2 linked regions of the Oryzias latipes genome follow. Each later gene encodes a partner of the first gene's protein in a complex. Links are inferred from orthologs where the notes say so. Each region holds a gene or a part of one and is shown on either strand. Other genes may lie near its edges.

Evidence for each region.
Region 2: wasf2 (region 1) and cytoplasmic FMR1-interacting protein 1 homolog share a complex: the UniProt entries of both Homo sapiens proteins name them as parts of the WAVE2 complex. The link is inferred for Oryzias latipes from reciprocal best matches to the Homo sapiens genes WASF2 and CYFIP1.

Annotation. Positions count from the first base shown.
Region 1 is NC_019869.2:21,796,285-21,800,106, reverse strand, and holds part of wasf2 (wiskott-Aldrich syndrome protein family member 2), read left to right. Parts: coding exon 1-59; intron 60-855; coding exon 856-973; intron 974-1,068; coding exon 1,069-1,187; intron 1,188-1,971; coding exon 1,972-2,115; intron 2,116-3,822. UniProt on the Homo sapiens protein: Downstream effector molecule involved in the transmission of signals from tyrosine kinase receptors and small GTPases to the actin cytoskeleton. Promotes formation of actin filaments. Part of the WAVE complex that regulates lamellipodia formation.
Region 2 is NC_019862.2:28,156,455-28,160,994, reverse strand, and holds the start of cytoplasmic FMR1-interacting protein 1 homolog, read left to right. Parts: upstream 1-1,462; 5' UTR 1,463-1,647; exon of another isoform or gene 1,648-1,841; intron 1,842-4,540. UniProt on the Homo sapiens protein: Component of the CYFIP1-EIF4E-FMR1 complex which binds to the mRNA cap and mediates translational repression. In the CYFIP1-EIF4E-FMR1 complex this subunit is an adapter between EIF4E and FMR1.

The sequences.
Region 1 (3,822 bases):
CAGGACACCTACTTGACCTGCAATCCTCCTCCCCCACTCAACCAGCTCAGCCAGTACCGGTAGGAGGCAACAGCCAGCCACAGTTGCATCAGAGCTTGATTCAGATTCACTGCAACGACCGCCACAGACACACTCAGCACGCACAAGGAATAGGAAACACTCTGGAGTCTCATGCACCGGCAGAACACACGTGTGACAAATCTGTTTTATATTCCTGCACAGTTTACGCCTCTTTTTGATCCTGCAGCAAAATTTTCATGAAGTTTAGACTTAAAATAAGCCAAAGAGCATTCAGAAGACCAGAAATAGTCAAGGAAATAATCATAATCTTGATATAAAGGCCACTTCTGCAGGATCTGATATTTTTGAGATGCGTGTGTGTGTGTGTGTGTTTGCTATTTTCTTTTGGTTGAGAGTGCAAAAAGAAAAGCAAATGCATGAAATGTACATTTTTGTTTCTTCACAAATTCATCAAATCCCCATCAGTGATAGTTTGTGGGAAAATGTTTAAAACAACAAACCTTGTTCTCCTAATGTAGGTTTTGCAGCATTTTATCAGAAGTGTGTTTAATCTAAAATAGGTAAAACTGACTAGAGTCTGATGCCTGCAGGTGAGTTTAAAAATATTTGCTGAATTTCAAGATATTTGTTTAACAGACAGTAAGATCATTTAGTGTTGGTGAGGTGTTAACATTTTTTTTTAACTTTATTTGTGTAAACTTGTGAAAAAAAGGGATTCTTTTTTACTCCTAAATGGGAAGTTTAATGTGTTTATGCGATAGATGATCTGTCAAGCCCCCTTGAACTGTCAAGATGGCGTGAAGTGTGACTTATATTATAAATGATTGTCTACAGAGATGATGGAAAAGAGCCCCTGAAGTTTTACACTGACCCCTCCTACTTCTTTGACCTGTGGAAGGAGCAGATGCTGCAGGACACCAAGGACATCATAAAGGAGAAGCGCAAGCACAGAGTGAGACACACAAACGCGCCCACAAGTTTACACCCCAACACATTCAGATCTCACGCCGTTTCCACTTTGTCTTTCTGCTTCTCTGTTCTGAGTAGAAGGAGAAAAAAGACAATTTGAACCAACGGACACTGAATCCTAGAAAAATTAAGACCAGGAAGGAGGAATGGGAGCGGCTCAAGATGGGGGAGGAGTTTGTAGTTCCAAAGAATGAACTGTAAGTATGGTGAAATCAGATTGATCCAGTGCTCGTGAATCTAGGATTACGGTGCTTTTAAAGTCACACTATGAAAAAAACCCAAAACAGATCAATACTTATGTTTATGTTAAGGCTTAGTACAAAAGAAGCAAACAAACGGCAATAAGACGCTACAGAGATGAGCTAAGTACTAGGAACTATGAAGTCTCACTAACCGTCTTACAAAAAAAAAAAAAACATGGTTTACCTACTGACCTTACTAAAAGGTTTTTAGGTCAAGATGCACACGATCGGGCTAAATCAGCAGAGTCTGGTCTTTGAAAAGGACCAGCACAGAAAAACAGTGAACACACAGATCCAAAGCAAACGTTAGAAACTTCATTCTCCTCATTCTTATCAACTCATCTGCACATAGTGATAGGGATGGTACGTCCTGTCTGGGAATGTTACTATGGGGAGGGGGTTGAGTGTAGGGATGGCTGTCTACTGCTGTAAACCTAAAAACATCCAGAGTCTGGTCTTTGACATTATTTGCCATCGTGTCGTGTTATCATACAATGAAAGGGAAAACGTGTAGCCCGTATTAAACAAAGAAAACCTAAGTTACACTGTTTTAATACCAAAACTAGACATTATTCAAGTTGATTTATGCAAACATTTTAAAAGATCATTTAATGTTCTGCCGTGTTGTTGTGCAAAATTCACTTTTTTCTCCTTGTTTTATAGTTTTTAGCCTCATTTTCATGTTTTGGTTTAAAAAAAACAATTTGTTTAGTCCATCCATGCTTTTGTTTGCTTAAAGAAACTCCTCCGAGGGACTGAACGGCAGTATTGGATCAGGGGAGGGCTTCACTTCTGACGCCCTTGAACTCAGCACAAACTCCGCTTATGAACCCGGCTCCCCCATCCCTGATGACTTCCTGCCTCCTCCACCTCCTGACATAGAGTAAGTACTGTTGCACTATGCATGCAAGCCCACACATGCTGCTAGCATTTTGATGTTTCTGCTAGCATGTCGCGAGCACCCATCTGCCGGAGGTGCAGTCCACGTTCACAGATTTTGACGCATCTGATGAGCCAGTGGGGGTTAGTAGTAACAGCTTTGGAAAAGTGATGCTAATTAAACACATTTGTTGTCGGCTTAGCAAGTTTGCTGAGTGACTTTCATACAGTTTATTCTGCACTAAACCACTCAAATGCTTGGCAAAAAAACAAAAACGAATCAGATTCAATCCTTTACATTTTACATAATCTTTTCAGGCAAAAAAAATCAAATAATCCATTAGTTTTTTATGTTTAAAGCACTTTAAAAATGTTTAGCTTATCTTGTTCTTTGCAGTCTCACATAAGGAAGTTGCTGCTTTGTTGTTGTGCCTGTTCAACAACATAAAGCTATTTTCATTTTGGAAGAAGCTTCATCTTCTTTCACTTTGACTCACCAGTTAATTGCTCAAGTGAGTCGGAAATAAAATCATATTATGAACTTGTAAGTTAAAATAAACATTTTTTATTTCATTTTGACAGTAATAATCAGCTCCATCTTAAAGTATAACAAGCTGTTATAGCTGTCATTGTCTTTAACAGGTTGCTTGGCTTTGAGTTGAACTAAAATGTTAAAGTAGAATGTGTTTAAAGGATGGAATCATTTTATCAAGCTGGAAAATGTATTTTTTGAATCTGAGGATTCTAGTGACTTTCTTTTGGTGCCAAAAACTGTATAAAATAGTAAATTATGGTTTATAAATTTGAAATCTAAAAAAAAAACATTACCTACGAGTGAGATGTTGTCTTAGACATTTTATAACACTTTATAATCAGGGTCCCTTTATTAATATTAGTTGGTGTCTAATTAAGAATGAGCTAATTATTATAGTATAAACAGCCACTTTTATGCATTAATTTGCGTTACTAAGTTTATTATTTAATGCGTTAGTTAGCAGTTAACTAATGTTTATTATTCAAACTTGCTTATTTTTTATTTTAAAAAAAACTATAGATTATAATTCTGCTTTTGAATGATAAAATAATGTGAAAAACATATCCAAAAGCAGTGTTTAGGAAAGTAGCTGGTTTCTGAAAATAAAATTTGATCAAACTATTGAGCAATGGTAAAGGTCATGTCACCTGTAAAGGTGGAAATCTTGACGTTTCACTTGGTTGGAGAAAGAACTACGGTACTGCCTCTACAAAGATCAATTGTTTCTACAACAACAGGCTGTTTTCTAAAACGCACTGGACTTTATCCTGCAGTAAATCAGGACAGTTTTCAGGTCGCAGGAATAGATGCTTTTAAAACAATTGGGCTGCTGTTTTTTTTTGAAGCTGTAATTTTGTAAAAAACATAACTTCTTCTTTTCAACTTCCTGGTCTGTATTTTTTTTTACTGAGTGCTGCTTTTCTCTCTCGTCTTACCTTGAACTGCTGAGGAAACTTTGCTGATGTTAGAAAAGCTAAAATGAGAGGTTTAACTTCTTGCTTTTTACCCCTTCAACGCCTATTGGTGCATATATGCAACAAACCACTTCATGGATTTGAAGTGAATTTTTTAATTTTTTTTATTTCATAGCTGGAAACAATTTTAGGCGTCAAAGGGTGAAGGCTTTGCCTGCAGCTTGGGCTGAACTAGCTGGAGATGATGTTATGTCTCCTTGAT
Region 2 (4,540 bases), on another chromosome or scaffold:
ACAAAGACACCAATGTAAATAAATGGAGCTTTGTAAAAACATCCCCACAAAGTAATATTTTTATTGATTGATTCGGTTTATTTCAAGCACTAATTTTAGACAATACAAGAAACAAATTCACACAGATTTATCAAACTCACTACGAAATGCACTGAGTTAGCAAACAAACAAAACAAAAGAAAAAACACTTAATTCACATTTGATTCATTAAATATGGTGAATATTAACTAGAGTCAGGTCAAGCTTGATTTCTTGCTGAGTGGTATGGGCAAACGGAGGCAAACTTTTATAATCCTACCCTGATATTTTGTTGCTGTATGGTGGAAATTTTGCTCAACGCAAGTGTAAACAACAAAACAACAAGCTTTACGGTGATCTATAGCAGTGTTTTTCAACCTTTTTTGAGCCACGGCACACTTTAACCTTGACAAAAATCCCGCGGCACACCAGCATCCAAAAAAATAGATAAATTAAAAAAAAAGAAAAAGCTCAGTCTGTATTGATCTACAGCCGGTCTGCAATCTCACATGCATTTTTATGATAATTGTTGCAGAAAACGCTGGAAGCTGCAGCTGTTTTTTCTAAAAGATGTATTAAAAATTAAGTCAAAAGATTCAAAAACTGTTTGATGTGTGTTCGTTGTTTTAAGACGTTGAGAGGAGAGACTCATTGTGCGCTAAGACAGTCACTTTACTGCATCATGGGAGATGTAGTACCCGTAATCCGCCGACCGCAGAAAGACCAGCGTATTTGAGCTTCATTGTTTTGTTCACTTGTTCCAGTATGATACCAGATTATGTGGAAAGCTACACCGCTAAAGACGAGCTTTAGCTGGTATTTTTGTTAGAACAGAGAGACTTTTTTGCGCTAAATCGAAATAAGGAAGTGAATACTTTAACCACGTCTGATTGGTCAGACTGATGACATGTGATTAAGAATGATTGGTGGAGACAGTTAAAGGGGCGGGACTTTTCCTCACACAGTTATAGCTGCAGCTAAATCGCGGTATCCCGTTATTCTTATCAAAATGTCTTTAATAGAATCATATAAACACAAAGAAAAAATAATGTTATGATATTTCATATTCTTAACTTCTCAGTGTTTTATCAGGGCCTGTTTGGATGAACAAAGAGCTGATTTCCTGGAGATGGTAATTGCTTTTAGATCAGTTAATGAGGGCAATTTCTCACGGCACACTTGACCATCTCCCACGGCACACTAGTGTGCCGCGGCACACTGGTTGAAAAACACTGATCTATAGGCTCCAGCTCATTTCAGTTCATTATGTTCACACTTAGATACACAAGTATCAAAGGATGTTGTATAAAACATATTTTTATACAATTAAATACACATGTGTATGCATTTCATTGTTGTTTTCCCATCGAATAATTTTCATATACAATACATTTTAAAAGTGAGTTTTATTTGAAATTTGGTATCGTTTTAGAATTATTTTTGGCTCCATTTGCTTTCCATACCCAGCCAGGTTACCGTACATTCCTTTGGCTGCACCTTCCATCCTGGGCGCGCGCGCTCCTGCCCTAGCGGAGGAGGCCTGAACCGCAGCTGTGAGCGCAGTTTCCTGTTGAGTTTCCCTGTTTCAGGGACAGGAACTCCCTGCTCTGCTTTGCTCCTCCGCCCATGGTAAGAACTCCGAGCAGGGAAAGAATTCTCCGGCCGACGACCGTGTAACCCCCTCTCCCGCCTCACCCGCGGCGACGGTGTTCAAAAAGCAGGGCGGTTGGGCTCGGCGGAAGGATCGGGCTTTGGGACTGTATGGCGGTGTAGTGGGCTCCGAGCGCGAGCACAGGTTTTCCCGGTGAAGCGACAAACTGCGGGTGAGTAGAAATGACTCACTTCGAAGTTGTGTGGATCTCCGACTACCTCGCCCAAGAGTAACAGAAAAGTTCTGCCACTCGATTTTCTGGGTTTATTTTTTCCTCTGCTCATATATGAAATTCCCTTTCTTACTCGGCCACCTAATTAAACCATCGAGGGGATAATTAGCTTACAGCTTGTTTCAAAGTAAAGCCGTTTTCCTGGCCCACAGGCCTGAGCTGGGAGGACTAATCTCAGGCCACGGCACGGAGCGGGGATCGGGCCAACATGTTGGAGGCAGGACTTGAACACATCAAAGCTTTTCCCGGTGTTTCGTTTTACGGTCTTAACTTTTTATGTTACGTTATTTAAAAATAAATAAAAGTAGTTGTAATTCGCCTGTCATGACGGCAACAGCAGAGTCGATTTAAACGTACTTCAATAACAATCCATGTTTGTAACAGCCAAAACGTTTGTGGTCAGGAATTTGACTTCATGTTGCCTTCACTGCCCATTTTGTAACGTAAACAACTGTTGGAAATCCAAGTATCACAATTTCAGCATATTGAGGTAGTTTTTATTTTTTTATTAATTCCAACTAAGATCAGAAACGCTGTGCTACAAGACTTTAGTTCCTTGGAATTTCTTACAATTCAAGGAATTCCGGATGGAATGACAAAAGAGGAAGACAGATAACATTTTTCCCTTCTATGTTTCAGTTTCTTCTTTTTAAGATCCCATAAAGCTAAAAACGGACAAAAGGGCTTTAGACTAACTTTTTGCACTGGTACGCCTCATTTGGTTTCTTAGGTGAGACTTTTCAACCGCATTACATTTAACAGTTAATGTTCCTGGGTCACCTTTATGTTTAAAACACTGGATAATGGACATTTGGTCTGTGCATTTATAATAGCATAAAAAATGTGTTTTTCTAACTTGTTTTTTAATGTTTCATCTCAATATGGTTCATACTAAATTATTAGCAAAAAGTTTCCCTTTTTTGTTGATTTTCTTTTTTAAAGTTCCCCTTTTCTATCTTCCTCCCATGTTCTTTGCACTGAAAATCTCATGAAGACAAACAGCAATTCATTCTTTGATCTCAGAGGATTAAGACAAATTCAGCATTTATTATATCATAAACTACATTTTCCAGATGTTCAAACTGCGTCTTAACAGCTTCATTCTCTTCTCCCTTTGTTTACAGTGTCCTCTCTTTGAGCTGTCAAAAACAGAAATATGCACAATGAAGTGGTAGTTATTTTAATAAAACCTGTCTGTCGTTCTCATCTAAACCTGGTTCCGTTTTTGTTAAAAGGTCGCACCTCAAAGTCCTGGACAGCACATGTCAACTATTTCATTGTATCATGCAGTGAACATCTATATAGTGTATAAAGTACAGCCACATAAGTTGATCCATAGGTTTGATTAGACTGCTTTGGTTCTTCTTGGCTCAAAGTTCAACTTTTTTGTTTTCCCAAACCCCGTAGGAAAGTTACACAGCGTCTGGTTTTTCTAGACACGTCTCCAAATTTGCCTGAAATTTCAAATTATGTTTGTTTAATTGCCTTGAAGTCAACGCAGACATTTTGGGCTAAACAGTATTCTAGTAGCCAATTCTGCGACTTAAAAGTGCGTCCATGATGTTCATTAGAAATACACAAACGTTGACAGACAGAATGTAAGAAAAGAATTTCGTGAATCACTTTGTATAATAAAAAAACCAAAAAACATTTTATAGCCTATAATGGTGCAAATAAAATGTATCTCCAGCTAGCAAACAAGAATTCTGTTCCCCACAAACCTGTTACTACTTCTTTAAAAAGCTGTTCAATTCTCCCTGTTACTTGTATGAATGGTACCTGTATGATCTGGTTAAATGGATCAAAGGCACCTGTCCACACCCTTAAACAATTGGACTGCAACATCTCCACCACGACCAAGACCAAAGAGCTGTCAAAGGACACTGGGGGCAAGATTGTAGACCCGAACAAAACTGGGATGAACCAATTTACAATAAGCAAACAGCTTGCTGAAAATAGATCAACTGTCGGAGCAATTGTTAGAAAATGGAAGAAATATAAGATCACTGACGTTCAACATCCGCCTGAGATGTTGGGACTTGTGGGTGACCTAACGAGACCTGGGACCACAGTAACTAAGGTTACTATAGTAACACAACATCACCATGGATTCAAATCCTGCAGTGCTCCAAAGAATTCAATCCGTTAGAGAAACTGTGGAGTGAGTTCATGTAGCCCAGCAACATCCTTAAAGCATCACAGCTCTTGAGAAGATCTGCATGGAATAATGGACCAAAATAGCAGTTACATTGTTTGGGAACCTGCTTGGAGACCTACAAGAAACCTTTGATCTTTGTCATTACATTGCAGTGCTCCAATACATGAATAAATATAAAATATAAAAAAATCCACTACAAATCAAACTTATCTTTTTAAGTGGGACAACTTGCAGAATTAGTGACGCATTTTAAATGCATCTTTGTTTTTAAAGGAAAACTGTTTTTCCAAGTGCATTTGCATTTGTCTGGTTAACAAAGTTAACATAGTGTGCCAAAAATGTGTTGTGTTGGAAATAGAAGCTGCTTTGCCGTCACTTTTTCTGTTTCATTTGCTGACATTGTCTTTGTTAAAGCTGGATGTCAATGGGACCCATAATTCAATGGGACCCATAATTCAGTGTTCCCCTTTTTCTAAAATAA